Linked DNA regions of Macaca mulatta. The protein of the gene in region 1 interacts with the protein of each later gene in a biochemical or structural test. Links are inferred from orthologs where the notes say so. Each region holds a gene or a part of one and is shown on either strand. Other genes may lie near its edges. The genes, in order: NSF and NAPA.

Region 1 (15,752 bases):
TCCAAGGCAAAGACAGAAAGTTGTTTGGCCAGCAACTATGAAAGTTGTTGTTTGAATGGAGTCATCATAACCTACAAAAAAGGTGAAATAACAAAGGTAAGATTTTTACTTAGCATTGTTTGTTCCTACAGAAAGAATGCTGGAGCTGATAATTATGAGAATTTATCCTTCCATCCCTTATAACCTAAGAATATTCATTATTTTCCAAGATCTGCACTGAGCCTGTAAACCAAAATGTATCTGAGACAGGTCTCAATCAATTTACAAGTTTATTTTGCCAAAATCAAGGACGCTCACCTGGGAGATAGGCCTGTGCCTTTTTCCAAAGGTGATTTTGAGGGATTTGTTTTGTTTGTTTGTTTGTTTGTTTGTCTGTTTTTGAGACAGAGTCTCACTCTGTTGCCCAGGGTGGAGTGCAGTGGTACAATCTTGGCTCACTGCAACCTCCGCCTCCCAGATTCAAGCAATTCTCATGCCTCAGCTTCCCAAGTAGCTGGGATTAGCAGGCATGTGCCACCACTCCTGGTTAATTTTCATATTTTTAGTAGAGACAGGGTTTCACCATGTTAGCCAGGTTGGTCTCCAACTCCTGACCTCAGGTGATCCGCCTACCTCAGCCTCCCAAAGTGCTAGGATTACAGGTGTGAACCACCGTGCCCAGTCAGAAGGATTTAATATTTTATTTATTTATTTATTTATTTATTTATTTATTTATTTATTTATTTGAGATGGAATCTTGCCCTATCACCCAGGCTGGAGTGCAGTGGCACAATCTTGGCTTACTACAACCTCCGCCTCCTGGGTTCAAGTCATTCTCCTGGCTCAGCCGCACCCGTAGCTGGGATTACAGGTGCACACCACCATGCCCAGCTAATTTTTGTTGTTTTTAGCAGAGACGAGGTTTCACTATGTTGGCCACGCTGGTCTTGAATTCCTGACCTCGTGATCCGCCTGCCTCAGCCTCCCAAAGTGCTGGGGTTACAGGCGTGAGCCACCACGCCCGGCCAGGATTTAATATTTAAAACGGAAAAGCAGGCTGGACGGGAAAGAAGGAGAGTATGCTCACATTACTGAATTCACATGTTGCAAGAGACAAAGAGCAGGTAGAGGAATAGTCAATTATGTATTACTCTCGTGCTTACCATAAGATAAGGTGGACATAGAGTAGTTAGCTGCAGCCAGTCCTGCTTAGGAATGAAAGGAAAGGCAACTTCTTGCATGACTCAGCTTTCAGCTTCATTTTTTTTTCTTTTGGCAGAATGAATTGGGGTCCCAAGTTTTTATTTTCCTTTCACAAGCCTCTGAATAAACAAAGTTCCTGCCCACATGGCATTCGATTGCTAAACAATTATAATCACATGAATACATACACATATACATATATATTTTATATATATTATATATATATTTAATACATATGGCTGGGTGCAGTGGCTCACACCTGTAATCCTAGCACTTCGGGAGGCTGAGTTGGGTAGATTGCTTGAGCCAAGGAGTTCAAGACCAGTCTGGTCAACATGGTGAGATCCCATCTCTACCAAAAATACAAAATACAAAAATTAGCTGGTCATGGTGGTGTGCACCTACCTGTAGCCCCAGCTACTTAGAAGACTGAGATGAGAGGGCTGCTTGAGCCTGGGAGGCAGAGGTTGCAGTGAGGCAAGATAGTGCCACTGCACTCCAGCCTAGGAGACAAAGCAAGACCCTGTCTCAAAAAATGAACAAACAAAATACATACATATAGACAGAGAAAAAGAGGGAGAATTTTATAATGATATGCATGAGGAATATATAGGGGAGAGGCTAAAAATAGGCCTAACTTACTAGTGAATATATTCAGGAGGTAGGACTGTGATTGTTTTTAAGTGATCGAGGGAAAATGGTGTACTGATTTTAAAATGGAAAACTCAACTTATTTTTTAAAAATTAAAACTCTGACAATTAAGAGGGAGGATTAATTGAAATCACAATGGCTGCTCAGGCAAGTTTATAAATCTCAAACTGCAATGACTCAATAAGCATTAATTGCTTATGATAATATTGATTTAAGAGTTATTTTTTCCTTAATTAGAAAACACATGGAAAGGACAAAGTGCTCTTGGGAGAAGCAGAAAGAGAATTTCACTTTGAGAAACCTATTTGGAGAAAGTTCCTCATCTCTGGCTTAGACTTTAAAATTAGTTAATAGTGTAATTAGGATTAGTTGTAGTAATAGTGGTATTGGTATGGTAGTTAGCGTTTAAATGGCACACAGAATACCCAGACCACCTTCCCCCAAGTGCCACTAAACTTACTCTTCTAATCAAACTTCTGCTCAAGGGATGTCTTCTTCCTCTCTTGGAAAGCTGTGTTCCTTACCTCAGAAACAGCCTCCATAAACCTGCCCTTAAGAGAATCCTTGGCCAGGTGCAGTGACTCACGCTTGTAATCCCAGCACTTTGGGAGGCCAAGGTGGGTGGATCTCTTGAGGTCAGGAGTTTGAGAGCTGCCTGGTCATCATGGTGAAACTCTGTCTCTACCAAAAAATAAAAATAAAAAATAAACTAGCCAGGCATGGTCGTGTGTGCCTGTAATCTCAACTACTTGAGAGGCTGAAGCAGGAGAATCACTTGAACCTTGGAGGCAGAGGTTGCAGTGAGCTGAGATTGTCCCACTGCACTCCAGCCTGGGCAACAGAGCAAGACACCATCTCGAGAAAAAAAAAAAAGAGAGAGAGAATCCTTAAGACACACCTTCTTTGATGCCCTCCTGAGAAATGTCAAGAGTAGCCAATATAGTCACCCCAATCAGCTGTGGTGTCTGGGCCTCTAGTGTTTTAAGGTTCTAGACAACTCAGCCCCTCCCAGGAGACGCTGATTTACTTTTCTCAAGATGCATTAAGACTCATCAGAACAATATCTGAAAAATCCCTTTTCAAAGAGATGCAGGCAGCCTTCCAGCCCCATGATGTTAATACACAGGGTTAGGCAGCCTGGCAAGTGCATTGTGGCCCCCACTGAAGGATCATCTGGTTTCCATAGCAACAGTCCTTCCTTTCCACGGAGGATTCTATCATCTGTCCTGCCCACTCAGGCTTTCTAGAATGAATTGATTTTTGTGACTATAGGTGTTTGTCCTTGATCCTGCAAAGAGAAAAGACATATTCATTTAAAACAAACACCCCACCCCACCCCGCAACTGATTGCAGCTAGAATACTGCATTGCATCAGCCAGTCTTCCTTTCATTTTAAAATTCCATGTCCTTTCTCCATTTTGCTCTGTTCTCTAGCTTTATCCATCATTTTAGAAAACAGGTTTCTCTGACAGAAAACAAACAGATGGCAACTCCATCATCCTAAAACTGGCTGTGACAGGGCTGTAAAATCAAGTGTCCATGGGGCTCCCAGAAAGCCTAGGCTTGCATGGCATGTGTGGCTGACCTGTGAGTTACAATTGGAGGGGCAAGAAAAGGCTTTCTATACACAGATGGCTCCCCATACAGTGTCAGTCTCTGAAGTGTTGCCTTTTGAGGTTTGTTTTCTTAGGTTAGTTAGGAGAATACTGACTGCTGTCCTGTCAGTATTCTCCTAAATTGCCACTACTCCTGGGAAGGGTAATACATTAGGTTACTAATACTGAAAGAACTTGAGAAAGAGGGGAGGGGGTGCAGCAGGAAGGGAATAAAAGGGGCTCTGAAGACCGCCTTTGTGTGCTTCACAGTGACACCTTCTGCAAGAGGGGAAGTTCAGGTCTTCATCTCTCTCTGTCTCTCTCTCTCTCTCTCTCTCACACACACACACACACACACACACACTCTGCAGGATGCCTTCTGACAGTTACAATGCAGTGGTGAATTCACCAAACAGGTCTGTTCCCTGAAACACCTACATACAATCCTGCTGGAAGACCTTTGAAACAACTCTGCAGTGACTAAAAACTCTGTACCCAGCACCACTTGTTTGACCCTACAGTTTCCACAGACTAAAGGTAGTTTTCCTTTGGTTAATATGAAAACACCAAATAGATTGCTTTGTTAAATAAAGTGAATTACAGTGAATCTGTTCACTTTTATGTTTCATATTGCCCTCACTCCACAAATCACAGAAGATATTTATTTTTCCCCCAGTTAAATTCTGTTACCACAACCATTACAAACAAACGTCTATATAACCAAAATGTTGTTCAGCCCATTCTGATGGAGCACATATTAAGTGATGTTTAATGGGATATAATTTGAACATAAAATTATATGAGTGCACTGTTTTCAAGTCTTTGAATCAGGCCTCCACCTATAGATGTTGGTTACCTATCAGGGAGCAACAGGTGATATTAAGGGTCACTTTGTAAAAGACAGGAATCTCATCCCTGTAATTGACAGGAAACTGACCATATTCATCAGGGTTCTCCAGAGAAACAGAACTAACAGAATGTATATACATATAGGAAGAAATTTAGTTCGAGGAATTGACTCGTGTGTGATCGTGGAGACTTGGGGAACCCAAAATCTGATGGGAGAAGCTGGCATGCTGGAGGCCCAGGGAAGAGTTACAGTTCTAGTTCACAGGTAACCTGCTAGAGAATTCCTTCTTGTTCTGGATGAGTTTGGCTTTTTGTCTATTCAGGCTTTCAAGTGATTGGATGAGACCCACCTACATTATGGAGGGCAACGTTCTTTACTCAGAGTCTACAGATTTAAATGTAAATCTCATCCAAAAACACCCTCACAGAAACATCCAGAATAATATTTGATCAAGTATCTGGGCAACATGGCCAAGCCAAGTTGATACAAAATTAACCATCACACTGGATCACAAGGGCTAACTGATTTTGGTCAAACCCTGCCCTTGCCCCTATGCCCCACTCTTTTTCATTCTGGGTCCTGCTATTTTCATTTTATCATGTCTTCATCTTCTCCCCCGACCTTTGAGGTACCTTTCCTTTCTGACCCTATCCCTAGTCTCACCTCCTACCTCCCACTCAAAGCCCTTCCTTCCTTAAAAAATGATGTTAGTCATTACACTTTAGAATTTAAATTAATCATTCTGTTAACCGTCTTACTAACTTTCTCACTGTAAAAGAAAAGCATATTAAAAGAATTTCAGGGATCGATGAAGAGCTAAGGGAGATATTTTTTTAGGAAGAGAAAGTGACTAACTCACAGAAATCAAGACAAAGGGGGACAGTCAGATTTTGCAGACGACAGAAAGCAGGTGAACTCTAGAGATCTAGAAAACTAGCAAATGGTCTCTTCAGGGTGTCATCATTGCAATAAATGAGCTCTAGCTATTTCTGTCATTATTCCTCAGGGTACTCAAGATTACAATTACTTAGGGGAGAGAGAGCATCTGATTGATTGAACTTGGGTTCTGTACTCACTCCTGGGCCAGGGGGAGACAGGGTTCCTGGTCTGACAATCCTTCCAAGGCCACATGAACTGGAAGAGCTGTTACCAGAAAAGGGCAGAGTGAATCTGGGGCAGCAAAAACATGTGTTGCTTATCGACTATCGCTGCAAGGATTACTCAGAGGGTGATGCAGAATCAGCACCCCTCTATTTCTAAGATGACCTTGAATGTCAGAGCAAGGCACAAACAGGATGCAGAGACATGTGGAGTATCTGGAGCAATGTCTTACAATCCTTCCCCTCCTGCTGGATGCGAAGGACCTTAAGGACAGGAGCTATGTTTGCCTGCAATTTATTTGGCAGGCCCTGCAGGGCTGTGCAAATGATTCTATTTAATTTTTAATACTTGTGAGAAGGCACAGAGGGCTTTGAGAGGGCACAGAGGGCCTCTTATAATGGGTAGATATGCACGTTAGCTGATACACTGGAAATTTTCCAGCAGGCATATCCTTCCAAGATGATAAATATTCCTCCTTGTTGGAGAAATTGAAGACATTTGTACTTGCAGTCTAGCTTACCTAGTAAAACAAGACAAATTAACCAGTGATATGGAGAAACACGTTTGCATTATTTTCCAACCTTGAAAATAATGTCAGATTATTGGACCGAGAGCCAATGTCATTTTCTCGATCTGGTAATTATTTATTAAAATCTCTTTGATTTCTAGGTTCAAATTCAAGGTGCCAAAAGAAAAAGAAAAAAAAAAAAAAAAAAAAAGGATGGAAACTAGGCCAGGCGTGGTGGCTCACCTCTGTAATCCCAGCAGTTTGGGAGGACAAGGCAGGTGGATCACCTGAGGTCAAGAGTTCGAGACCAGCCTGGACAACATGGCAAAACCCTGTCTCTACTAAAAATACAAAAATTAGCTGGGCGTGGTGGTGGGCATCTGTCATACCAGCGACTTGGGAGGCTAAGACAGGAGAATCACTGGAACCTGGGAGGTGGAGTTTGCAGTGAGCTGAGCTCACGCCATTGCACTCCAGCCTGGGTAACAGAGTGAGATTGCATCTCAAAAACAAACAAACAAAAAAAACAAATAAGGAAACTGGGCTCAGGGATATGAAGGTACACAGGTGACGGGCAGATAGGGACAAAGAGAACCTAACCCTCTGGACTTCCCAAGCCATTCTAATATTTGTTTTTGTACGTTAGTAACTTCTGCAAGTTAGTAGATCAGAACTCAACTAGTTTCCTGTATTTCCTGATAACCTCTCTGACCCACCCATGATTTAGCTAACATCTGATTTGGTCAAGGAAGCAACTTGGTCCTCAGGTTCAGTGTGAGACTTCATGAAATTGACGTGAAATTTTTTTTTTTTTTTGACACAGGGTCTTGCTCTGTTGCCCAGCATGGAGTGCAGTGGCACAGTCTCGGCTTACTGCAACCTCCGCCTCCCGGGTTCAAGCGATTCTCCCACCTCAGCCTCCTAAGTAGCTGGGATTACAGGCACCCGCCACCACACCCGGCTAATTTCTGTATTTTTAGTAGAGATGGGGTTTCACCATATTGGCCAGGCTGGTCTGGAACTCCTGACCTTAGGTGATCCGCCCGCCTTGGCCTCCCAAAGTGCTTGGATTACAGGCATGAGCCACCCCGCCTGGCTGGCGTTAACTTTTTCTTCTGTCCCTAGTTCATCTTCAGGTCACTGTCTGATTTTATTAGTTCTCAAATTTAAATCACTATGCATGCTCAGCTCTTCTAGTTATTTCCCTTCTTTTCTCATGCTGGGGGGAAAAAAAACCCGATTTATTCTAATTAACTGTGAGAAATGAAAGAGAACAAATCCTATCATTCCCTATTGTCTTGCGCAAATATGAAGAGAGAGATGATAGTGGGGTAAATAAAAGCAAAAGGGAATCCATTCGGCAGAATCTGTCTCCTCCCAGGCTGCTTGAAGTTAGATATTCTGAGATTCCAGTGGAGGAATGGTATGGTGAAAACATCGAGGTTCAACAAGGCTGAAATTTAGGTTATATTTTATTCAGATTCTACCATGTATAGTGTCTAAGATGAAACAACGCTGGGGAATGAAAAGGTTGTCGAAGATACAAGTTGCCTTTATTAAAGACAAATATTTAATAAAAATAATCACAATTCGCTTTCAAATCTGAAGAAAATACTGAGTTTTCCAGGCTACACATAAATAAAACTGCCAACGATGACAATTCCAGCAACTAGGAAAACAAGTACGCCTACAAAGAAAAGTGAGAAAATTCATGGAGAATTTGAACTCAGAACCAACTCCTCGGAGCTGATATTTTCTGGGGGAAGCCAGGGAACGCGCCGGGTTTCCTCAACCGCAAGGCCATGTTTAAGAGAGTCTGGAGGCCAGGTGCGGTGGCTCACGCCTGTAATCCCAGCACGTGGGGAGGCCAAGGCGGGCGGATCACGAGGTCAGGAAATCGAGACCATCCTGGCTAACACGGTGAAACCCCGTCTCCACTAAAAAATACAAAAAATTAGCCAGGCGTGGTGGCGGGCCCCTGTGGTCCCAGCTACTTGGGAGGCTGAGGCAGGAGAATGGCGTGAACCCGGGAGGCGGAGCTTGCAGTGAGCCGAGATGGCGCCACTGCACTCCAGCCTGGGCGACACAGCGAGACTCCGTCTAAAAAAAAAAACCAAAAAACAGAGAGTCTGGAAGCACAGAGCAAAATGGACATTCGAGGGCGAACAACTGCTGGCAAAGGGATAAGTGATCCGAAGCATTAAAGCCCTTGCGACAAATTCCGGCGCGAACGGCCAGGGGACACGAGACTCGCAGGAACAGCCCTCGAGCGAGCCGCGGACGGACGCGCACGCTGGAAACACGGTCACCTGCCACCGCCTAGCAGCTCCAGCCAAAATGGCGCCGCCGCTCTGCCCGCCCCGCGCGCGCGCCCTGTGGAGCGAGGACTCCGGGGACGCGCGCGTCCTCACCGCGGCTGCACGCCTGCGCGAGGGCGGGCGGCGGGGGCGCGCGCACGGCGGGGGCGGGCTTTGCCGAACGCAGAGCTGCAGCCGCCTAGCCGGACGTGTCTGCGAAGATGGCGGGCCGGGTGAGTGCCGGTCTGGGAGCCCAGGCTCGAGGCAGGGGCGCCGGGCTCGCGGGCACTCCGGGGTCCAGGAGGCCCCAGGGGAGTGGGAGTGAATCCGAGCAATGGGGCGCGAGGCCAGAGCGGGACTCGAGGGTAGCAGGGGAGCGGTGGCAGAGGATTAGCCCTCCTCAACAACTCCACCCCCCTCGAGGGGAGATGACCCCCTCGTTACCCGCGTCTGCTGCGCCTCAGGTCGTCCTCTCCCATTCCTTGGGGCTTGTTTCCCTTGTCCTCCACATAGCCGCAGGGTCGCGGTCGCCGAAGCCCCTTCTGACTGGCTCTGGGGGTCTTTCCGCACCCCCTTGCGAGGGCTTATTAGGGGGCGCCGGAGTAAGTGCCGGGAGCACGTCTACTGCATTCGGGGCGAGCGGTGTAGGAAGGATCATCAGGAACCCATGTCTGGCTCTTCACAAATTAAAGGTCGTTGGGAAAGAGGAGGGGGTGCCAATGACTTTTAGTGTTAGAGCCCTGCCATCTGGGGGACCTGTCAACTGTCAGGTCAGGCGGGAATTTGCTTTAGCTTGGAGTGAGGATGGATTTGGGCTGTCATGTTTTGTTTTTATGGATGACAGTCGCTTTCAATGCAGCAGGATATGCTGTAGTTTCAGGGTTTTAAATTTACTTCCTCCTTTAGGCTTTAGGGTTGCTGGGTAGGATGGATTTGGCGAGGAGAGATAGAGCTGCTTGAGTGCTGTATTGCAGTCTGCCTTGAGCTAAAAGCTCTAAAGGGATGAGTCCTGCCCAGAGATTACACTGGTTATAAACCTGAGGACATTAACTGCGTCACTGGGGGCGAAAGATGTGCTTGACTGATCTCTTTGTACCAGAATTTTTGAATAAGTTTGCATAGATTTATGCATATATGCAAAAGCCCTATCTAAAGGGACTTGTAGGTCATGAGATTCTAGAGTCAGAAGGGATCTTAAAGGTCATTTAGTTTGGCTTCTTTCTCTTCCTTTTCCCCGTGGTCTCTCCTTTTAAGGCTAGTCCTTCTACCAATACTTCAGACCCTATCTGTATATTCATCTACTCCTTCTTAATCAAGCTTCTTTATCTTAAAACAAACCCTTCCCCCACCCCCACAGCTGTCACCTTTTCCCTTCCCACTTTACAGCAGGAAATTTGATAGAGTTGTCTATATTTATTGTCTTCCATTTGCTTACCACCTACTCACCTCTCAACCTACTGCAGTCTGATTTCTGTCCCATCATCCCACTGAAACCTGTCCCTCAACTTAATTGAACTTTTCAATCCTTATTTGATGTCTCAGCAGCTTTTGACGTTGTTGACCATGGCCTCCTCGATGGAAAGCACTCTTTACATGTGTTCTTGGATGCCTAGCTCCTGGTTTGACTCAGACCTCTCTTTTGCGGACTCACTCTCCTCTACTTTGTTATTCATTGCTGGTATTTCTGCTCAGGCAATCTCTTCTAAGCCCATAGCTACAACTGTCTATATGGCAGTGATTCTCAATATTTTACCCCCAGTCCAGACTTGCCCTTTAAGTTTCAGGTTAATACGTCCAACAGCTTATTAAAATCAAGGCCCCTGAAACTCAGCTTTTTCAATTCCGAACCTAGGATCTTAGCCCACCTAACTTGTGTAGATGCTCCTCAACTTAACGATGGAGTTACCTTCTGATAAACCCATTGTAAGCTGAAAGTATCAGAAGTTGAAAATGCATTTAATACACCCCATCTACCGAATATCATAGCTTAGCCTAGCCTACCTTCCTTACACATCCCCAGAACACTTACATTAGCCTACAGTAGGGCAAAATCATCTAACATAAACCTATATTATAAAATGTTGAATACCTCATGTCATTTATTGCTGTGCTGATAGTGAAAAACAGAATGGTTGTGTAGGTCCTCAAAGTACAGTTTCTGTTGAATGCCTCTCACCTTTGCACTATTGTAAAGTTGAAAAATGTTAAGTGAAACCATTGTAAGTCAGGGACTGTCTGTACCTATTCAGTGAGATAGGAATATCTCACTGAATGATACCGTCATCCACCCAGTTATATAGGCTGGGAATCTGGGGGAGGGAGAGGGTGGGTAACCCTTGATATCTCTCCTCTGCCCTATCCATGTCCTCTGCCCTATACAAAGGTAAAATTTGGTAAAATTTGTCAGTTCTGCTCCTGCCCCCCATAAAGGTGTTTAATTAGGGTCTAAAGACTCTGGTTTGGGAGAATGATTGCTTTAAACTAGATCCAAATCACCCACTGGACTAGCTGGATTGGTCACATGGGTTCTGTCATTTTAACCCAAAAATCTCCTGTCTGTTCACCTTTCCACATCTTCATTTTTACCTCGTTTTCCCAGACTACCACCATTTCTGGTCTGGACTACTGCAGGAAGCTTCCAAGTAGTTTTTTTTGTTTTGTTTTGTTTTGTTTTGTTGTTTTTTTGGTTTTATTTTTGGGACGGAGTTTCGCTCTTGTCACCCAGCGTGGAGTGCAATGGCGCGATCTCGGCTCACTGCAACTTCCGTCTCCCAGGTTCAAGCCATTTTCCTACCTCAGCCTCCTGAGTAACTGGGATTACAGGTGCCCGCCATGACACCCGGCTAATTTTTGTGTTTTTAGTAGAGATGGGGTTTTACCATGTTGGCCAGACTGGTCTCAAACTCCTGACCTCAGGTGATCCACCTGCCTCGGCCTCCCAGAGTGCTGGGATTACAGGCCTGAGCCACCGTGCCCGGCCTCCCAAGTAGTCTTCTTAGAGCGTATGGCCCACCTCCGGTTCATTCTGGACACTGACATTGATTGTTCCTTCCCATGCCCATTACTACTTAAACCCCTCCTCAGCAGCATCCCATTACTTTTTAGAGAAAACCAAATCCTTAATGAGGCCTTCAAGACTCTTTGTGGTTCTGCTCCTGCTTCTTTCCACTCTCTCTCTTTCTTAACTCTCTGTCCTCAGGTTATATGGTAAATGAGCCTTTCAATTCCTTCAGCCTGTAGTTTCTTTTACCGCAAGGTCTTTGCAAGTGGTGTTTCCTTTCTTTGTAACGTTCTTTGCCACGACCATTTACCTCCTACTCAGACATCATTTAGCTACTCAAGGAAGGCCTATTCTGACCCCACATTGTAAGTAAGGATCCTTTGTTATATACCCTTGAAGAACTGTATTCCTCTCCTTAGAGATTTTTTTTGTTGTTGTTACTTTGAGTGTATGTTATTATTTGCTTCTACTACTTCACCTCAGTGAAAAGCAGAGAACATATAAGTTATTTAGTCATTAGCAACTGCACTTTGTGTACCTTCTGGGACTTAGGTACTCAATACATTTTTGTTGAAAATGAATCAATCTCTGAACACTCTGGTGATAGATGGTGTATTACCCTAAAGCTTGCCAGTAATGTCATACAGCTATGTTACGTCTTTGTTATCTGGAGTTCCATGTAACTTTTACACGTAGTTACTATTTCTGCTGTTTAAAGCTATATGGAAGGTGTAAACACAATTTTCCATGTAATAGCTACTCGAGCTATTCGTTTACTTGAATACAGGTTACATATCTCCTCAGATTTTCTATTTTACAAGTTAAACATCCCCCAATTCCTAGCATATTTCATATTCCAAACGCTTAATCATTTAGACTACCTTCCTCTGGAAGTAACCTAATGTTACTGTTTTGTCAACCTTTCTTCTAAAATGTGCCCAGAGTGGAACACAGTGATCAGAGAAGAATGTACTTGAGCTATTATTCTCTTGAGATGGACACTACCATTATTCATGCCAGATAAAATTGTATTAGCGTTTTTTCTACAGTAAATCACGTTCTTGGCTCATAACTGAGCTTGTACTTAATGAAAACTCATGTTCTTTTAAAATCAGCTCCCTAGCTCCATTCTAGGTTTGGAGCCGTTTTACTGAACCTAATTCAAGACCTTATCCTTTTACAATTCATTTTTTTAGGTCATTGCCTGTCTGCTATTTGTTGAGGTAATCTGGATTCTTAGTTTTTCTCGTGTTAGGAAACATAATAGCTGTCTCTTTCAGTTTGGTTAGCTCTGTAGGTTTAATAATCGTGACTTCTGTTTCTACATTTGAGTTATTGGTAAAGGATAGAATAAGACAGGGTCAGAAATAAACCTTGAGCATATGCTGCCAGTGACCTGTCTCTAGACTGATACCCATTAATACACTTGGGTACTGTTGCTTAAGTACAGATATATCTCATTTAATCCCAACAAAACAACCCTGCAAAGTAGGTAGTATTATCTTTGTTTTTTGCAGAGAGAAAGAGAGAGAGAGATTTAGTAACTTGCCAAGTTCACATAGCCAGCAAGAAGCAGGGTCAGGATTTGAACTCAGATCAGCCTGGTACTGTTACCTAGTTCACCAACTTAGTTGCAAGAATGTAATGAAGACTAAGTTTACCTCACCTAGAACTTTTTGGACATAATAATGTTCAGAAACTATCTTCTACCTTTTGGAAAATCTGAACAACTTTGGCCCATCTGATTGTCTATCATTTCTTCTGATAGCCTTTATTTTCTAGTAATTACTGAGTGATGTTTAGCAAATATAGTTCACCTTGTTGCAATACTTTTATTTGTGCATATTTATGGAGTACATGAAAAATTTTTTACATGTGTATAATGTGTAGTGATCAAGTCAGGGTACATGAGTCCAATATATTAAGTATAGTCATCTACTCAGCTTTCAAACATTGAATTTATTCCTCCTATCACTGGATTTTTTTTTTTTTTTTTTTTGAGATGGAGTCTCGCTCCATCGCCCAAGGCTGGAGTGCAGTGGCGTGATCTTGGCTCACTGCAACCTCTGCCTCCCAGGTTCAAGTGATTTTTTTGGTCCCATATGAATGACATTGGTATTTTGATAGGGATTTCATTGAATCTGTAGATTGCTTTGGCAATATGGTCATTTTAATGATATTAATTCTTTCCACAAGCATAGGATTTTTTTTATTTTCTTTCATTAGTGTTTTGTAGTTTTCCTTGTAGAGATCTTTCACTTCCTTAGTTAAATGTATTCCTAGGTTTTTGGTAGTTATTGTAAATGGGATTGCCTTCTTAATTTCTTTCTTGGCTAGATCATTATTGGTGTATAGAAATGCTACTGATTTAAAGGTTTTCTAAACCTACAGATATATAATCAGCAAAGACACAATTTGACTTGCTCTTGTCCAGTTTGGATGCCTTTCATTTCTTTCTCTTGTCTGATTGTTCTGGCTAGGATTTCCAGTACTGTGGTGAATAGGAGTGGTGAAAATGGGCATCCCTGCCTCATTCCAGCTTTTAGAAGAAAGATTTCACCTTTCCTCATTCAGTATGCATTAGCTCTGGGTTTGTTATATATAGACTTTATTATTTTGAGATGTATTCCTTCTATGCCTAATTTGTTGAGAGTTTTTTTAATCATGAAGGGGTGTTGAATTTTATCAGATTTTTGTTGTTGTTGTTGTTGTTGCAATACTCTTTTTTTTAAATTTTTTTGAGACGGAGTCTTGCTCTGTTGCCCAGGCTGTAGTGCAGTGGCGTGATATCTCGGCTCGCTGCAACCTCCACCCACTGGGTTCAAGCAATTCTCCTGCCTTAGCGTCCCTAGTAGCTGAGATTACAGGCCAGCGCTACCACACCCGGCTAATTTTTTTGTTTTTAGTAGAGACGGGGTTTCGCTATGTTGGCCAGGCTGGTCTCGAACTTCTGACCTCAAGTGATTTGCCTGCCTCGACCTCCCACAGTGCTGGGATTACAGGCGTGAGGCACTGTGCCCGGCTGTTGGGATACTCTTAATGGATTTTATATTTCCTTTTTGTGGGGGACAGTTTATTTTGAATTCTTGCACTTTTGATTTGGTTAATTTTGGTATTCTGACATCATCTTGTAAGTGGGATTTATATTCACTATGTAATTGAGGTTTTTTTTTGTTATATCACTGTTGCTATTGATAGCACTAGTAACTTGTATGTCTTGCTCTCTCCTTTCTCTGACCGATGAAGCACCGTATATAGTATATCTGGGAAACTGGCTGAAGAATAAAATGTGTGATGTTACTCAGTGTACATTTATAGGTCATCAGAAGATACCACTACCTTCCCACTACTGGAAAAGAAAAAGAGAAAAGTTTTCCACAGTGCCTGAACTGTTTTGTATGCTTATCTTTTAAAATTGCCAGAAATCTCACTTACTGGAGATTCAGCAGTCCCTTTCTGAAAATATACATACTTTAATGCAAATAAAACCAGTGGATCTCTTTCTTCATAAGTCCTTAAACCCAGTCGAGGTAATCTGTTTTGTAGAGATGGGAGTAAGATAATGTGAAATAGGAACCAACGAGAGAGAACTTTCTTAGGAGTTGAAAGGGGTATGGAAAGATGTTAGAGGTAAAATTTATTGAATCCAGTGTTTTGACTAGGGCAGGCCAGAATATTCAGTATCAGTATCAATATCAGAAGCTTTTGTAGCCTTTGTTTAGAAACCTAGTCATTTGTAACATTTTGTGGGTGAATGACATAGTTACCAAATAAACTTTCAGATGAAACTTTGGAACTCAGGCTGTAAATTGGGGATAGCTCATGTGCAGTACCACAAATCAAAACAAATACTATAAAGTGTTTGGTAATCCATTTCCTAAATGAAAGTTTGACTCTCCAAAGTATATCAGCTTTCTGCAGTCTTATATGCAGTAGTTACTGGTTTTGTATATCGCTTTAGTGGATATTTTCAAAAGTATCTTCAAATGCAATGAATTTTAGGAAACAAAGCAGTTCTTTAAAGCAGCATTAGATAAACCCAGAGAAATTTATGTATAGGATGATTCTTTTTTCAAGTATTTAAGTTAAGGTGCAGAAGTATAAGGTAAAGTATATTAACCATTGAAAATTCTGGAAGTGGCGGAAGAGTGAACCCTTGCAAATACCTGCATTGGGCAGTACACTAAGAACTTGCTGTAATGCTTTTTAAAGCATCTGTCCTCTGACTGTAGTATTTTAAGTGAAAATGGCTCAGTGAGATACTCTTTCATATTTTAGTACTGATACCCTTAATATTGCTCTGAGAGCTACCTACTGACTTCAGTTTCCTAGTGATTTAAACTTCTAATTTCCAACTTTTTTTTTATAGTGAAAACGAAATATTTCTTGTGTAGATGTAACCATTTCTGGAAGCCCTAAGTATTTTTGTATGAGTATAATTCATACACACTTTTAAGAGATTTCAATCATGACAAAAAGTACAGTGAATAATGTATATCCATGTGATTACCACTGAGGTTTAAGAAATGTTAACATATTATGATACCTGCTTCAGATATTTATCTT
Region 2 (15,545 bases), on another chromosome or scaffold:
CTCTGAGCCGCTCTGGGAATAGAGGGAACTGGTTTGGGCTGCCTGATGCAGGGCTGTCTATAATTACCCGCTCAGCTTTGCTCTCTCCCCCTCCAAGGCGGAGGAAGGAGTCTCAGGTCTCCCAAACACAGCCACCAACCTCAGCGAATGCCATATGGAAGGCTAGGCGCTGCCAGGAATGCACAGACACCCGGTGGGACCTGGGCCAGGGGGTACTGCAGGGCAGAGTCTCAGCCCCCTCCTTCCTTCCTCCATCCACCAGGCACTTCCTGGCTGCCAGAAATACACCATGCCCTGACCCACCACCTGCAGCTCCCGAAGGACCTCATGAGGTAGGGTGGACAAAGGCCCCCATTTTGGGTCCTGGACTCACTCTATCTCTCTTGCCTCTCTGGAAGCCACAGGCACAGGCCTATGGCTTCCTCCTCAGACTTAAGGCCCACTGCCCCAAGTCTCCGGTCAGCACCCTCAGTGGGGAAGGTGCCCTAGGGCCTGTCACATGCCTGTGAGCCCACCTCCTGCACGGCTCTCGAGACCACGTGCCTTAATCACAGCTGGCGCATGGCGCTCCCTGGCTCCCGGGCACTCCCCCAGAAGGAGCCCACAGCTCTTCACAAGAGCCCTTTGGGTGCTGCCCTTGCTTTAAAGGGAGGAAGCTGGGGCTCAGAGAGGGTGGAGGGCTTGCCCAAGCTTACCCTGCCAGGAAGCAGCAGGGCTGTGAAAGAGGACTGGGGCCCTGGGGATCCAGTGCTGCCCTTGCCTCTCACTCAGTAATCAGGAAGGCTTCCCTCCCCATGCCCAAGAGTCCTCGGAAAAATGAGGAGGGAGGACAAGGTCCCTGCCTGCCCCCGCCCCTCCTCTAGATTAAACAAGCCAAGGAACCTTTACCGCCGAGGCTTCCCTCATCTCAAAGCAGAGGCTGCTCTCTGCTGGAGCTGCGTGGAGCATCCTCTAGGCAAAAGAGGATGAATTAAGTCAGCCCCCTACTGAGCCTGCCAGTAACAAGACAACAGGCAGAAGGAACGTCAGAAAAAGTTAAGGCTGCCTGTGGTGCAGGGTCCACCCTGGCACAGGGAGCTGGGGGCCACCAGCCCTGCTAGTCCATTGACTGCACTGGAGCTGGGAGCTGCTAGAGGTTCAGCATCCTGAAGGCACTGCCACCAGTATTACCTGGAAGTGCAAAACCACCAGCTGCCTCCCGCCACTCTGCAGTGGGCCCCGGCTGACCAAGCAGGGTATGAGTTCCTGCGGGGCGGGGCCTGGGCCCAGCTTCACTTTCCCATCTCTCCACAGTGCTGGCACAGGCCCCGGTTAACAACGGTGAAAGGATAAAGTGTCACAGCCTAACTGCCCAGCTCTGAAATCGCCACAGGACCCTCTTGTGACATGACTGTCTGGGCAAGGACAAGGGGTAGAAAGAGAATGACTTTGGGGTGGTGAGACCTGGGCTGAAGTTCATTTCAGGTACTTTGCTAAGTGTCCAACCAGGGGCTAGTTATCCCTAAGGCTTTTTTTTTTTTTTTTTTTTTTAATAAGAGATGGGGTCTTCCTGTGTTGCCCAGGCTGGTCTCGAACCCCTGGGCTCAAGCAATCCTCCCGCCTCTGCCTCCCAAAGTGCTGAGATTCCATTCTTTATCTATAAAATGGCAGTGTGGCTGGCCACAGTGGCTCACACCTATAACCCCAGAGTTTTGGGAGGCTGAAGGAGGAGGGTTGCTTGATCTCAAGAGTGTGACACCAGCCTGGGCAATACAGTGAGACCCCAACTCTACTAAAAACTAGCCAGGCATGGTGGCATATGCCTACAGTCCCAGCTACTTGGGAGGCTGGGGTGAGAGGATCACTTGAGCCCAGGAGTTGAGCCCAGGAGGTGGAGACTGCAATGAGCTACGATCATGCCACTGCCCTCCAGCCTGGGCAACAGAGCAAGATCCTGTCTCTCAAAAATGAAAAATGAAATAAAACAGAGACAATGAATCTGGCCTGGGAGGAGTCTTTGTGAGGATTAGAGATGACACACATTCAATACTTGGCACAGAGAGCAGAATGGAAGAGGTGCTCAAATGGTTGCCATTATACAAAGGAAGAGAAATACGCTCAAAGGGGTGCCTGCCACCCAGCAATAGGAATTCTAGAGAGTTGCTTGTGGTGGTAAAAATAAAATAAAATAAATGCTGACAGTAGTCAAACAGGCCTGGCCTCAGTGCCAGATCATCGCGTGCCAGCCTGCGTTTCCTCATGTGTAACTAGGGATAAGACTCCACACCTTGCAGTGCTGCTGAAGCATGAGCAATCTTGCAGGCAGCACCCCACGGCGTGCCCAGCAGAGAGCCGGTCACACCACGGGCGCTCAGTAAACAAGAGCATCCCTCTCATCAGGCCCCGCTGAGGACCGATTCCAGGCACACTTCCCTACTTCAGAATCGCAGCATGGGCTTCATCTCCACCCCAGATTCGCTAAGTGCTGCTCCTCCTTTGGCTTCCAGAGTCCTGGCCTCCCACCACCCTCCGCCTTACTGCACAATGCTCAAAATACATACAGGCCCACGGCCCTTCAAGATGGTAAGCTCAGAGCCAGGACCTCACCTGCCACACGGCACACAGCCTGGCAGGCGCTCTGTTTCTTATTTTCTTATACGAATGCCCCCCTGCACCCCAATGGGATTACATTTCACCACAGACCAAGGGCGAATGTGCTTCCTTTTCCTTAAAAGGTGTTCTCAAAGACCCTTGTCTTTCAGTAGCCCCATTCCAAAAAGGAGACAGAAATGTTTGTATGGCCAGGCAGCAAACTTCCATCCATCAGGAAAGCCAGGAATTCTCAGATTCCCCAGAAACCTTGTGTGCTCTCAGGAAAGACTCCACTCTGAGACTGGACAAGAGATGCCAAGTTTTCAGTTGTGGATCTTGGCTGCTGACAGGGCACTGTGATTCACCAGGGTGCCCACTGGAAATGGTGCCGGGGTCTCTGCACGCTCTGCAGAGGAAGGTGGTCTGGAGGGAAATCTGGAAGCTCATGCCCACACCAGTCTCAGCCAAGATCCCATGCAGGCCCTATACAGACAAGCTGGCCCTCCCATGGTCCCGCAGTTACTGCCTACAGGTAGTTCAAACAGGAACTGATTTGCCAAGATCTGATCTTGGGAATGCACTGTTTGTATACAGAACACCCTGCCACCTATTTCTCCAGCACTTCTAGCTCAACTTCCAATGACAATACCTACTAATAAAGATGACAGTGAGCCCTTAATAAACATTACCAGAGCCAGGCACCGTGCTCCCACCACTTCCCACGCATCGTCTCATTTATCTTTAGAACCACCCGAGGAAACAGTTGACTAGGATTTTCATTTCACAGATGAAGAAACTCCCTCTACACGTTTGTATCCAAGAGGAAGGAAGTTTTTATTTTGGCTGTTTTGGCGGCAGGGGAGGTGGCCAGGAGACATCAGGGATGAGGAAAAGCCCCAGGGAACAGAGCTGCCATTCAGAAGCCGCACGATCCCCAAAGGGCACAGCAGGCACTCTGGATTTACCAGGAGACATGCAGCAGGGAGGGGGAACTAGTGCGCCTGGACTCAGCCGTCCCCTTCTGCTGCTTGCTCACTGTGCTGTAGTTAGGAAGTCTCCGTCTTTTTGCTTCCAGAGCAGAAGTTTGAGCTGCACCCCCATCACCAAGGGGAGGAACAGGGATGGCTTTGAGCTTCTCCTAACTGGCTGGTGCTGTCGCCCTCAGTGGCTGCTGGTGCATCAAAGCCCCCTAGCGTCTGGCAGCCCAGAAATAATGAAGAGCAAGGGCGGCGTCTGAGCACCGAAGCGGGCGACAGCACAGACGCCCACCGCCTTGCGTCCCAGGTGAAGGCTCTCTGACTTGCCCTTTGATAGGAGCAGAGGACCCTCAATGTGGGACGCTGTCATTGCTGGGATTCCCAAAGGGGAAGGGAGAGGCACCAAGGACAAGCTGAGGCCCAACACTCCCTTCTCCAGTCCCGGCAGCTACCAAGGACCTGAAAAAAGGTGGGTTATGAAATGCTGAACACAAGCAAACCCAGATCAGAGAGGAGGAGGTGCCTGAGTGATTCCCACCCGTCAAACAGGTCCTCCTAAGCTGGCCTCTGACTGTGCTCCCAGCTCCCAGGCATGCAAGCTCCGGTCAGGCCACCCTCCCATCCTCCCTGCCCTCTGCCCTCTGCCCTCACCTCATTCACACCCCCACAGCACCAGGTCAGCTCCTCTGGGAGCTGGAAGGAACTGAGATGAACACACCGGCTCTTTTTTTCAAATACTTGGAGAAAACGGCCATGGGACCACAGTTAAGAGGGTGGCGGTTTTCCAACACACCTAGTTTGCCAACAGCCTTCCCAAATGTAGTGCCCAGAGATGGTCATGAACCTTGAGGAGAAACTACCGAGGTAGCACAGCAAAGGGGCTAAGTGAGAAGGCTCTGGAATCACACAGAACCGGGTTTGAATGCCACCTCTCCCACTTACCATGTGGCTGGGCAAGTAAGTCAACTTCTCTAAGCCCCCAAGTTTCTCTACCTCCACGGGGATTTTGTGAGGACTAAATCCATACCATCTATCAGCAGGTTGAGCCTGGCCCAGGCCTGGGTCCGAGTCAGAGCGAGCACTTAATAACCTGTATCTGCTAGTATTACCGGCAATGCAACAGCCTCCTGCCGTCACTCTCCCCCACACCAGCTGCTGCAGTCCTTTCTAGAAGGCAAATAGCAGCTCTCCAGGATGGGCCTCCCTTAGCCTCCTCGGAGCTCTTCAGTGCCTCCTCCAGGCCCAGCCCTTGCTCACCAGGCCTTCCTAGTCTGGCCTCACCTGCCGCTTCCACCTTTATGGTCTAACGTGTAACTCCCTGTGTTCCATCTTCCTAAGGCATACTCCATCATAACCCCTGCCTGGAGTGCTGCTCCCTGCCAGAGAGCACCCAGAACTCCTGTTCATCCCCCTGGGGTTGGGGCCTCTCCCCCAGGAAGCCATTTCTGATCCGTGTGGATCTCAGTTCCCTGTCTTTCCAGGCAGAACTTCCCCTCATGCTAGATCTCTGTTGCACCATCCCTGCTGCCTAGAGCACCCTCCCTGGCCCCACTCCCCAGCAAGTCCTGTGGTTCCTTGGGACCTAGCTCACTCCTCACCATGAGCTTCCCCCTGGTTCACACTGCTTCCTCTGAGCTCAGAGTCACAGGAATGATATAATCGAGCCCTTCCTTACAGTAGGTAATTCCACTTTACTAGCGTTTGCTGTGCATCCTGCCTTCCCAACCAGGTAGCAAGTGCCTTGGGGCTGACTTAGCTGCTCCCTCCAAGCACACAGTCCAACAGCCCACTAATCCCTGGGCCAAAGGGACCAGACACCCAGAGCCACCTAGGAAAACTATCACCAAAAATCCAGCTCGTGGCCCCACCCCCAAACACAGCACCTGAACTTCTCCCCTTGTGAAGAAAAAGAAAACACACACACACCCTCTGTCTCCTCGCAGCCTCTAAAATAAAATATTTTTCACCTAATCAATACAGTCCATCAGCCCCAGATGTTTCTCCACACCAGGCAATTCACCATCATGTTCTTCAAGTTCTTTTGCTAAACATTATCCAACCTCAAACAAGGGGCGTGGCCCAGAGCCCTTTTCCTGTTCCTTCCTCTCTTGGAAAGATCCCTCCCCTTTGTGTCTTACCAGCTTCTGCCAGGCTCCTACCCCAGTCTCTTCCCATCCCCAGGCCCTCCTCCCAAACCCCCTTCTCCAGCCTTCTGCAGACACTCCCAGTCCCACCAACTTCCCCAGGCTCTGCTTCTGAGGGGCCACCACAGACCGTTCTCTCTACAGGTCCACTAGTCCTTTCCCAGTCCTCCCCTCAGTTTCCACAGCCTCCCCTTGACCTTTTCGGGTCCCCCCATCAGCACAGATCCCACCCCCCCACACACCACCACCCCCTGCCAAACTCCCTTTACTTCCTCTGCCCAGAGCCTCATGCTCCTCTCAACCCTACTAAGTCTTCGTGGCTCCCTTTACTGCTCCCTTTCAGCTCCTCTTAGCACACCCATGTTTCTGTCTCTCCCTCTCCTGACCCCTCCCAGACCTCTCCTCTCGGGCGCCCACCTTGAACCCCATCAGCTCTCTGCACACTCCAAACCTGTTTCCTTCTGGGAAGTCACATTAACAATAGCTAACACTCTCAGAGATGTAACTCCACGCCAGGCTCAATTCTAACACTCACAGCAAATGGGAGGCAGGTTAGATTTGTGATCTCCTTTAACAGGGAGACTAAACCATTTACCCAAAGTCATGAAGTAAGTGGCAGAGCCACATTTCAAACCTGGGCTCTTAATACTTTTAAGCCACTAAAATTATCACAGGATGGTGGTGTCAGCTTTTAGGAGCTACCGTGAGTTTTATGCCATGTCACATGCGTTAGTTCTGTCTCCCAAGCCTTTTCCCATCCCTCTTCTCAGCATGTTCCTGTCATCCCCATTACTCGAGGATCACACAGCAGGAATTTGATCCCCAGTTTTGATTCTCTCAGTCCCCGTCTCTCCCTGTTATCCCTCCATCTCCTTGGCCAAGCCACCACCACGCGTTCCCCCACCCAGGAGTCTCCGGCCTCAACCCAGGCCTCCTCAGGTTTTTTTCTTTCCCTTTTTTTTTTTTTTTTTTGAAACGGAGTCCCACTCAGTTGCCAGGCTGTAGTGCAGTGCAGAGGCGTGATCTCGGCTCACTGCAACCTCCGCCTCCTGGGTTCAAGTGATTCTCCTGCCCCAGCCTCCCGAGTAGCTGGGATTACAGGCACCCGCCACCAGGCCCAGCTAATTTTTGTATTTTTAGTAGAGACGGGGTTTCACCATGTTGGTCAGGCTGGTCTCGAACTCCCGGCCTCAGATGATCTACTCACCTCGGCCTCCCAAAGGGCTGAGACCGCCACAGTCTTGACTCCATCATCCCGGTTCCTCCGCTCAGCTGTCCTTAAACTAGTCACTGCTAACCAGGGCCGTACTCACCCCAGGCACCCCCCACACTTCAGACGCAGCTCACTGCTCCTAGGATCATCTAAGCCCTGAGCCCCTCCAAAGGTGTCAGCCCCCTTCAGCCTTCACCCTCACTGCCCAGGGCCCACGCAAATCCACTGCCCCGGGGGATGAAAAGGTCAGTCCCTCGGGCAGGCGTCCTCAGCCCCAGGCCCCATCACTGCCGCCCGAGAGCCTTCACATTCCCCTAGAGCTCTGAAAAGCCTCCGGACCTGGCTTATCTCGCGGACTCCCTCCCTGCCCCCAAGCCGGTCCCCTCCACGGCTTCAGGACGTATTCCCTCGGTTCAGGTTCTCCCCCTCCCGCTGGCCTGTCTTCGGCCTGGGTCCCCTTCCTCGCCTCAAGACAGGGTCGCCTCTGTCCGTGTGTCCTCAGCCCAAATCCCTTCCGCCATGTCAGACCGTCTCTCCTCAAACCGTGTTGCCCCGGCCCAGGCTCTTGGCCCTCAGCCTGTGTAGCCTCTGCCGCTTCAGGCCAAGTCACCTCATTCCAGGTTCCTCTCCGTCCCCTCGGCCCGAGCTCTGCGTGCCCTAACCCGCCACCTCCGACCGTGACTCCTTCGTCCTCTCAGCCTAGGTCCCGGCCGACCCCTCAGCCCGGTTCTCACCCAAAGAGGCCAGAGAAGAAGGACTGCGAGTTCTTCACTTTGCGCTCCGCCTCGGCCAACAGCGCCATCGCCTCCGCTTCTTTCCCGGAATTGTCCATGGCGGCCACAAAAGGACTCAGCAAAGCGCCCGACACTGGCCCTGGGAAGACTCAGCCGCGGCCGGGCCGCGGAACACAGATCGGGAGAAGTCGCCCGGCTGCGTTGACGTCGCACCGGCGCGCGGCGCCTGCGGCCCGGAATCACGTGACTCGCGCTGGCCAACCAGAGGCCTCGTAGCGCGGCGCCCGCTCCGCCGGCCACGCCCCCACCAGCCGCCGCAAGCCGCCCGTGACTCGGGACCCCCCAATCGGCGTCCCGAGACCTCAACGCATGCGCACACACAGGACAACGACGCCCCACTTTCTCCTCAGCGCTCTGTACCTCACCTCCCACGTGACCCTGCGGAAGGCAATGGCAATACTCACCGCCGAGGCCCCGCCCCACGGTGTTGCCGCTGGATGCTCCTCCACCAATCAGCAGCAGCCCTCGGCTCGCGTTGTTAGGGGGGCCACCCCGCGCCCTCCCTGAAGTACTCCGGCAGAGTCAGCTGACCGCGGACACTCACGTGACAACTCGGGGCCCAAGCCCGGGTTTGACAGTTCTGCGCAGAGCTTAGTCCCGCCCCACGGCTGGTCTCGCCCGTTTCTTCACTTGGAAAAGCGTTTGTGGGAAAAGGAAACCGTTCTGCTTTTTCTTGCTCCCTCTACCGGCCAGTACTGGAACTGCTTTGGGGAGACCGGTGAAGTAGTTGAGAGACTGGAAACAAAAACTTAAGAGGTTCTCTAACTCTGGTTTCATAAAAAATAGATGAAGAGGGCCGGGCGTGGTGGCTCACGCCTGTAATCCCAGCACTTTGGGAGGCCGAGGCGGGCGGCTCACCTGAGGTCATGAGTTTGAGACCAGCCCGGCCAACATGGCGAAACCCCGCTCTACTAAAATACAAATATTAGCCGGGTGTGGTGGCTCACGCCCGTAATCCCAGCTACTCGGGAGTCTGAGGGAGGAGAATCGCTTGAACCGAGGAGGTGGAGGTTGCAGTGGGCCGAGATCGTGCCACTGCACTTCAGCCTGGGTGACAGAGTGAGACTTAGGAAAAAAAAAAAAGCTGAAGACAGCGTGTTAAAAAATTCAGATTCGAAGATGGGCGCGGTGTCTGGTGCCTGTAATCCCAGCTACTCGGGAGGCGGAGGCGGGAGGATCGCTTGGGCCCAGGAGTTTGAGTCCGGTTCAAGTCCCGCCTTGGGCAGCATAGCAAGACTCTGTCTCCAAAAAAAAAAAAAGTTAGGCCGGGCGCGGTGGCTCAAGCCTGTAATCCCAGCACTTTGGGAGGCCGAGGCGGGTGGATCACGAGGTCAGGAGATTGAGACTATCCTGGCTAACATGGTGAAACCCCGTCTCTACTAAAAATACAAAAAACTAGCCGGGCGTGGTGGCGGGCGCCTGTAGTCTCAGCTACTTGGGAGGCTGAGGCAGGAGAATGGCGTGAACCCGGGAGGCGGAGCTTGCAGTGAGCCGAGATCACGCCACTGCACTCCAGCCTGGGAGACACAGCGAGACTCCGTCTCAAAAAAAAAAAAAAAAAAAAAAAAAGTTCAGATTCAAACACACCTCCTGCTGCCCCAGAAAATTGAGTAGTTGGTTTTTGAGACAGGTCTCACTCTTTGGGTTGTTGGTTTTGGAGACAGGGTCTCACTCTGTCGCCCAGGCTGGAGTGCGGCAGCACAATCATAGCTCACCGCAGTATCACTTTGTAGTGCCAGAGAGGAAGGAAGTATTCCACACGTGTGCTCACACACAAAATTAGGGGGTATGCCAGGGTGCCAACTGAAAGAGCTCCCAATGGCCAAAGCTGGAACAATTTGAGCAGCAAAATAAAGTAGTATTGCATTATAATCCCAAATATAAAGTATCCATGAGCCTGTGGTCATAAAGATGAATAGAGAAAAAGGGGGGAGAATAGACAAATAGTTTGTGCAGAAGAATTCCAAATAATCTGTGTAGATACTCTGCTCTCAAGAAGGTGAAGGATACCTCCCCATTCTGTAAGTATGGACTGTGCATAGTGACATCCTTTCAAAGAGGAGGGTGCAGGAAAGGGGAGAGAAAAACTAAATTTACAGTGGAGAAACCAGACTTTGACATCCAGGTTGTTGGGTTAACCTCAACATTGATAAGTCATGTGATTAAAATGGCTCTTTACTTCTGGGATCTTTCAATCTAATCATGAAAAAAACACTAGACAAATTCCCATTGAACCACATCCTCCAAAACACTTGCCTAGTACTCCTCAAAACTGTTGGTGGGCGCAGTGTGTCACCTGTAGTCCCAGTACTTTGGGAGGCCAAGGCAGGAGGATCACTTGAGGCCAGGAGTTCGAGACCAGCCTGTCCAACATGGCGAAACCCTGTCTCTACTGAAAATACAAAAAACTTGGCTGGGTGTGGTGGTACATGCCTGTAATCACAGCTACTTGGGAGGCTGAGGCAGGAGGATCACTTGTACCCGGGAGGCGGAGGTTGCAGTGAGCTGAGATCACCTCATTGCACTCCAGCCTGGGCAACAAGAGGGAGACTCAGTCTCAAACAAGTAACACTGTCAAGTCATCAAAACAAGGAAAGTCTGAGAATCCGTCACAGCCCAGGATACATGGATGCTAAATGTAATGTCTTACCTTGGGTGGGATCCTGGGACAGAAGGGCATTAGGTTAAAAAAAACCAAGGAAATCGGCCGGGCGCAGTGGCTCATGCCTGTAATCCCACTTTGAGAGGCTGAGGCGGGTGGATCACCTGAGGTCAGGAGTTCGTGAGCTGCCTGGCTTTCGAGAGCAGCCTGGCTAACATGGCAAAACCCCATCTCTACTAAAAATACAAACATTAGCTGGGCATGGTGGCGGGCACCTATAGTCCCAGCTACTCGGGAGGCTGAAGCAGAATTGCTTGAACCCGGGAGGCGGAGGTTGTGGTGAGCCAAGATTGTGCCACTGTGCTACAGCCTGGGCAATAGAGTGAGACTCCATCTCAAAACAAAAAACACTAAGGAAAGCTACATAAACTATGAAGTTTAGTTAATAATATTGTGCCATATTAGTTTATTCATGGTAATAAATGTACCATTCTAATATCAGATGTTAATCATAGGGGAAACGGGTATGTGGGATTTTTTTTTGCTGTCATTGCAATTTTTCTACAAATCTAAAACTATCCTAAAAATCTTCTTTAAATAAAACAGGTTCGAAGGCCATACCCACAATGGTTCCAATTCTGAGTCTGTGGTGGGTCAGAGGAATCTGCGTTTTTAAAAAACAGAACCCCATAAAATTAAGATGCAGCCAGACCCGGTAGCTCATGCCTGTAATCCCAACACTCTGGGAGACCAAGGTGGGAGGACTGCTTGAGCCTAGGAGTTAAGGACCAACCTAGGCAACAAAGCAAGACCCTATCTCTACAAAATTAAAAAAATTTTAAATTACTCCTTGGGAGGCTGAGGTGGGAGTATTGTTTGACCCCAGGAGTTTGAGGCTGCAGTGGGCTATGATGGTGCCACTGCACTCCAACCTGGGCAACAGAGTGAGACCCTGTCTCCTCTCAAAAAAAAAGTAAAATTAGGATGCAGATAATCCAGGGACCACAGTTTGAGAAACCTCTGTTATCTAGGGGGTTGGCTGAGCAGAGCAAGGCATAAGTCTTCCCCCAACTCTCTTCATACATGAATAGACTTGCCTGGACCACCCACTTGTGGTTGCCACTGTGTCCTGACCACAGAGCAGGTGGGGGTGAGCCTGGATTACCACAAGCAGTTTTGGTTCCATGTCTGTCAAAGCAGCAGCGCTATGTAAAAGCTTCTGTTTAAGCTGTTCCTTTTCAGGGTAATTTGTCATGCAGCAACAGATAATATACCCCTCAGCCTTTTCAACCAGGGAGTATTTTTCCATTTCCAGAGTTCATTGGATTTATTTAGGATGGGATCCAAACAATATTAGCAATCACATGAGAGCTTGTTAACTAGTAGCTGTTCATTGCTTATGGTGCACCTTTCCAAATGCTTAATTTACATTTTATTTTTATTTATTTATTTTGACATGGAGTCTCGCTCTGTTGCCCAGGCTGCAGTGCAGTGGCACGATCTCTGCTCACTGCAACCTCCACCTCTGGATTCAAGCAATTCTTGTGCCTTAGCCACCCAAGTAGCTGGGATTACAGGCATGCACCACCATGCCTGGCTAATGTTCGTATTTTATATTTTTAGTAGAGATGGGGTTTCACCATGTTGCCCATGCTGATCTCAAGCTCCTGACCTCAAGTGATCCGCCCACCTCGGACTTCCAAAGTGTGGAATTACAGGCGTGAGCCACCACACCTGGCCATAATTTACATTTTATTTAACTGATAGGTTGCAGGGGTTGAGGAGGGGCAATTTTCATCCCATTTTACAGATTGAGAAAACTGAGGCTCCCACAGGGAAAGTGATTCGCCCTAGTTTACAAGGAGGTAAGAGGAGCCAGGATGGATGAGGTTCATCTGACGTCTGAACCCCTTCCCTTAACTGCAGTGTTCCAACTGCTTCAAACTCAGCGTCCACCTCTGCTCCCCTTCCCTCCCAATCTTTAAGCCTTAGCTGATAGGTGGGCCCTCTGTGAAACCTCCTGACACTGCCATCTACTTTCCCAGCCCCTCAGAACACAGCACACCCTACCATAGACACGATCACACCCCGATGCAATCAATCCTCTGCAGTCAATTCCCCATCTGAGCTAATGGCATCGACTACAGCTGCTCAGGCTCAAACGTGCCCTGCCAACTCGATCTGTCCTTTCCTTGACCACCTCCCACTGACGTGAGTCACTGACAACTCTGTTGCCCAGGCTGGAGTGCAGTGGCACAATCTTGGCCCACTACAACCTCCACCCCTCAAGTTCAAGTGATTCTCCTGCCTCAGCCTCCTGAGTAACTGGGACTACAGGTGTCCAACATCATGCCTGGCTAATTTTTTTGTATTTTTAGTAGAGATGGAGTTTCATCATGTTGGCCAGGCTGGTCTCAAACTCCTGACTTCAAGTGATCCACCTACCTTGGCCTCCCAAAGTGCTGGAATTACAGGTGTGAGCCACTGTGGAGTCTACCTTTCTTTTCTTTCTGTCTTTCTGACGGAGTCTTGCTCTACCAGGCTGAAATGCAGTGACACAATCTCAGTTCACTGCAACCTCCGTCTCCCGGGTTCAAGCGATTTTCCTACCTCAGCCTCCCAAGTCGCTGGGATTACAGTCACGTGGCACCACACCCAGCTAATTTTTGTATTTTTAGGAGAGACGGGGTTTCATCATGTTGGCTACTATGGTCTTGATCTCTTGACCTCATGATCCGCCTGCCTTGGCCTCCCAAAGTGCTGCGATTACTGGCAAGAGCCACTGCACCTGGCCATGGAGCTGCATCTTGAGTAGTCTAGCCTAACTGTGGTCATTTCCCTTCTCACTAACAGGGATCAGTTTAGAAGCGAACACAGGCTCAATGAGACATACGGGCATCTGCTGGGAGCTGTTAAAGGTTTTCTCACTCTTAAAAAGGGAGGCAGGGAGGGGGGTTGTTTTCTCTTCCCTGACTCCCCTGCCCCCTGCAGGTCTGGATTTTGGTTCAAGGTTATTCTCGCCTCTGCTGGAGCCCTGGTTCTGCCCCTGCCCCTGCCAGGGGTCCCTGATTCCAAGGCTGAACCCCCACGGGGACAACCAAACTCCATGATTGTTTAAATCAACACCAACTCTTAAGCATTTCCAGTATCAAGACCCAAAATCACCTTGTTTGCTTATTATTACTGCTACCTTCCTGCTCCTACAAAGGAAGGTCCGTGAGGAAAGGGGCCTGTCTTACTTCACTATCCCTGTTGCACCGATTGGCAACGTCCAGTGCATTCTACAGCAGGTGCTTCGTGGATGTTTGCTGAATGAATGTCCAAATCAACATGCCTGTCTTCTCCCCAAGGCCCCCAGCCCCCAGGGCAGGCCACAGCTGACTCACCTCCTGGCCTTAGCACGTGGTGGGGTTCCTAAGCCTTTATTGGATCAATAGGCAGGGAAGTCAAAGACAGCGGCTCAAGAACCCAATTTAATCAGATTTATGAGTTGACACGTACAAAAAACACGGAACAATGCAGAATTCATCGCAAGACTAGGGACTGAATCTGGAAGGCAGAGTCCCCGCCCTGGGGAGGGGCCCAGCATGTTGGAGATCTCAAGGTTTTTTCCCACTGATTCTCTACGTCTTGGCCTTATCTAACACATGAAACCAAACCCCACAACTGAGGCTAAGATTTAAGAGCTACCCAGAGCTAACTTTTCCCCTCCCCAAGCCTCCCTGCTCTAGAAGTGGAAGGGAAAGAAGGGGAGAGACTATGAACCTAAGGAGAGTAGAGCCTCCAGCGCCACTGGACAGGGACTGCATAGCTGTCCAACAACTGAGCTCCTCCTGCCTATCTGTGGCCAAATGCCCACCACGTTTGCAGGCTGGTTGGCCAACGGGGGATGGGGAGGGTGGGGGGAGGCAGAGGGGTACCCCAAACACCCTGGAGAGGCCGAAGGGAGGAGGGGCAGCACCGGAGGCCCCATTCGGACTTCCTGCCATGGGAATCACCACTGCAGGGGGCCGATGTCAGCTCCCAGCTCCTCTTCCTTCAGCTGGAAGGGCTTCACCGGCCACTTCACCCTGACGATGGGCTCCACGTGGTCCTGAAGGCGGTGCCGCTTCATGTGGGCATTTCGACTCTTGATCTTGTCAAATACCCTGAGGAGTCACCAGAGGACATGGGGTCAGAGCAAGGAGGAAGGGATCATGGGGGGCTGAGGCTGGGAGCCCTGGGGGCATCTCCAGGAGAAAGCTGGGTACCTTTCACACTCTCTGCATGGAAAAATGCCCTGGCTCTCCACACTTCCCGACGGCTCGGGGGTCCGCTTGGGGCCTGCATTTGGGCTGGAGCTGAGGATGGACTCCCTCCTATAACTCTTGGTTTTTATCTTTAACTCAGGAATTGGATGGTGGCTGGGTCTCTCCCGAGGGCTGCATGGGACCTGCAGAGGGAGCAAAAGTGACATAAGGGTGCTGACCTGTCCTGCTGTAAGAGAGGCACAGAGCTGAGGGCACACGTGTCTCCTGCAGGGAAACCCTTCCGTCAGGAGCATCCCCGCCCTCTGACCCCACCCTCCAACTCCACAGGCAGCAGGCACTGGGAGGAGAGACGAGCTCCCGACACTGCCCCGGTTCCTCTACCTTTTCCTCTGTCCTTTCCACCTCCTCCGGCTCTCTCTTGACCCTCTTTTCTAGCCCTGGGGCTCGGCCACAGTCAAACTTGATCATTTTTTTCCAGATGTAATAATACTCAACGCACTGAGCTACCGTCTTTGTCTGGATCTAGTGAAAGAAAACAAGCAGGCTGTGGCCGTGCCACGCGGGCCCTGGGAGTGTGACCTTGCCACTGGGCCAGCTGCCTCCTTTGGAAAGCCCTTTGGAAGGATCTCTTCCTTTGGCTTGGCGTCACCACTCACCACAAAGGCACAGGACCACAAAATCCTTCCTGGGGATGAGGCCGTTCAAAGAGCAGCCACACAGTAGCCACCAGTACTTAAGCCTGCACATTCTGAGCAGTCATTCCAGCCCAGGTATTCTTTCCTAAGGAAGATGCACACAAAGGTCCCTCCAGGGACGCTAACTGTGACATCATGCTAATAAATCGGAATGCCCTCTACAGGCAGAATACCACACAGACATTACAATAGCTAGGCAGAGCCTCTAAAGTCTTGGCAGGAAGTGGCCCACTCTAGAAGAAGGGGAGGTTTTGAGTGCACAGCACGAACCTACGAGATCATTTTCCCGTTCCTCCACT

Evidence for each region.
Region 2: the proteins of NSF (region 1) and NAPA form a complex in vitro, tested with the Homo sapiens proteins (2 studies listed by BioGRID). The link is inferred for Macaca mulatta from reciprocal best matches to the Homo sapiens genes NSF and NAPA.

Annotation. Positions count from the first base shown.
Region 1 is NC_133421.1:70,498,490-70,514,241, reverse strand, and holds the start of NSF (vesicle-fusing ATPase), read left to right. Parts: upstream 1-8,364; 5' UTR 8,365-8,406; coding exon 8,407-8,418; intron 8,419-15,752.
Region 2 is NC_133424.1:60,005,080-60,020,624, forward strand, and holds the start of NAPA (alpha-soluble NSF attachment protein), read right to left. Parts: upstream 7,866-15,545; 5' UTR 7,738-7,865; coding exon 7,640-7,737; intron 500-7,639; exon of another isoform or gene 1-499. Other genes in the region: ZNF541 (zinc finger protein 541), read right to left, coding at 14,296-14,449, 14,552-14,733, 14,933-15,073. UniProt on the Homo sapiens protein: Required for vesicular transport between the endoplasmic reticulum and the Golgi apparatus. Together with GNA12 promotes CDH5 localization to plasma membrane.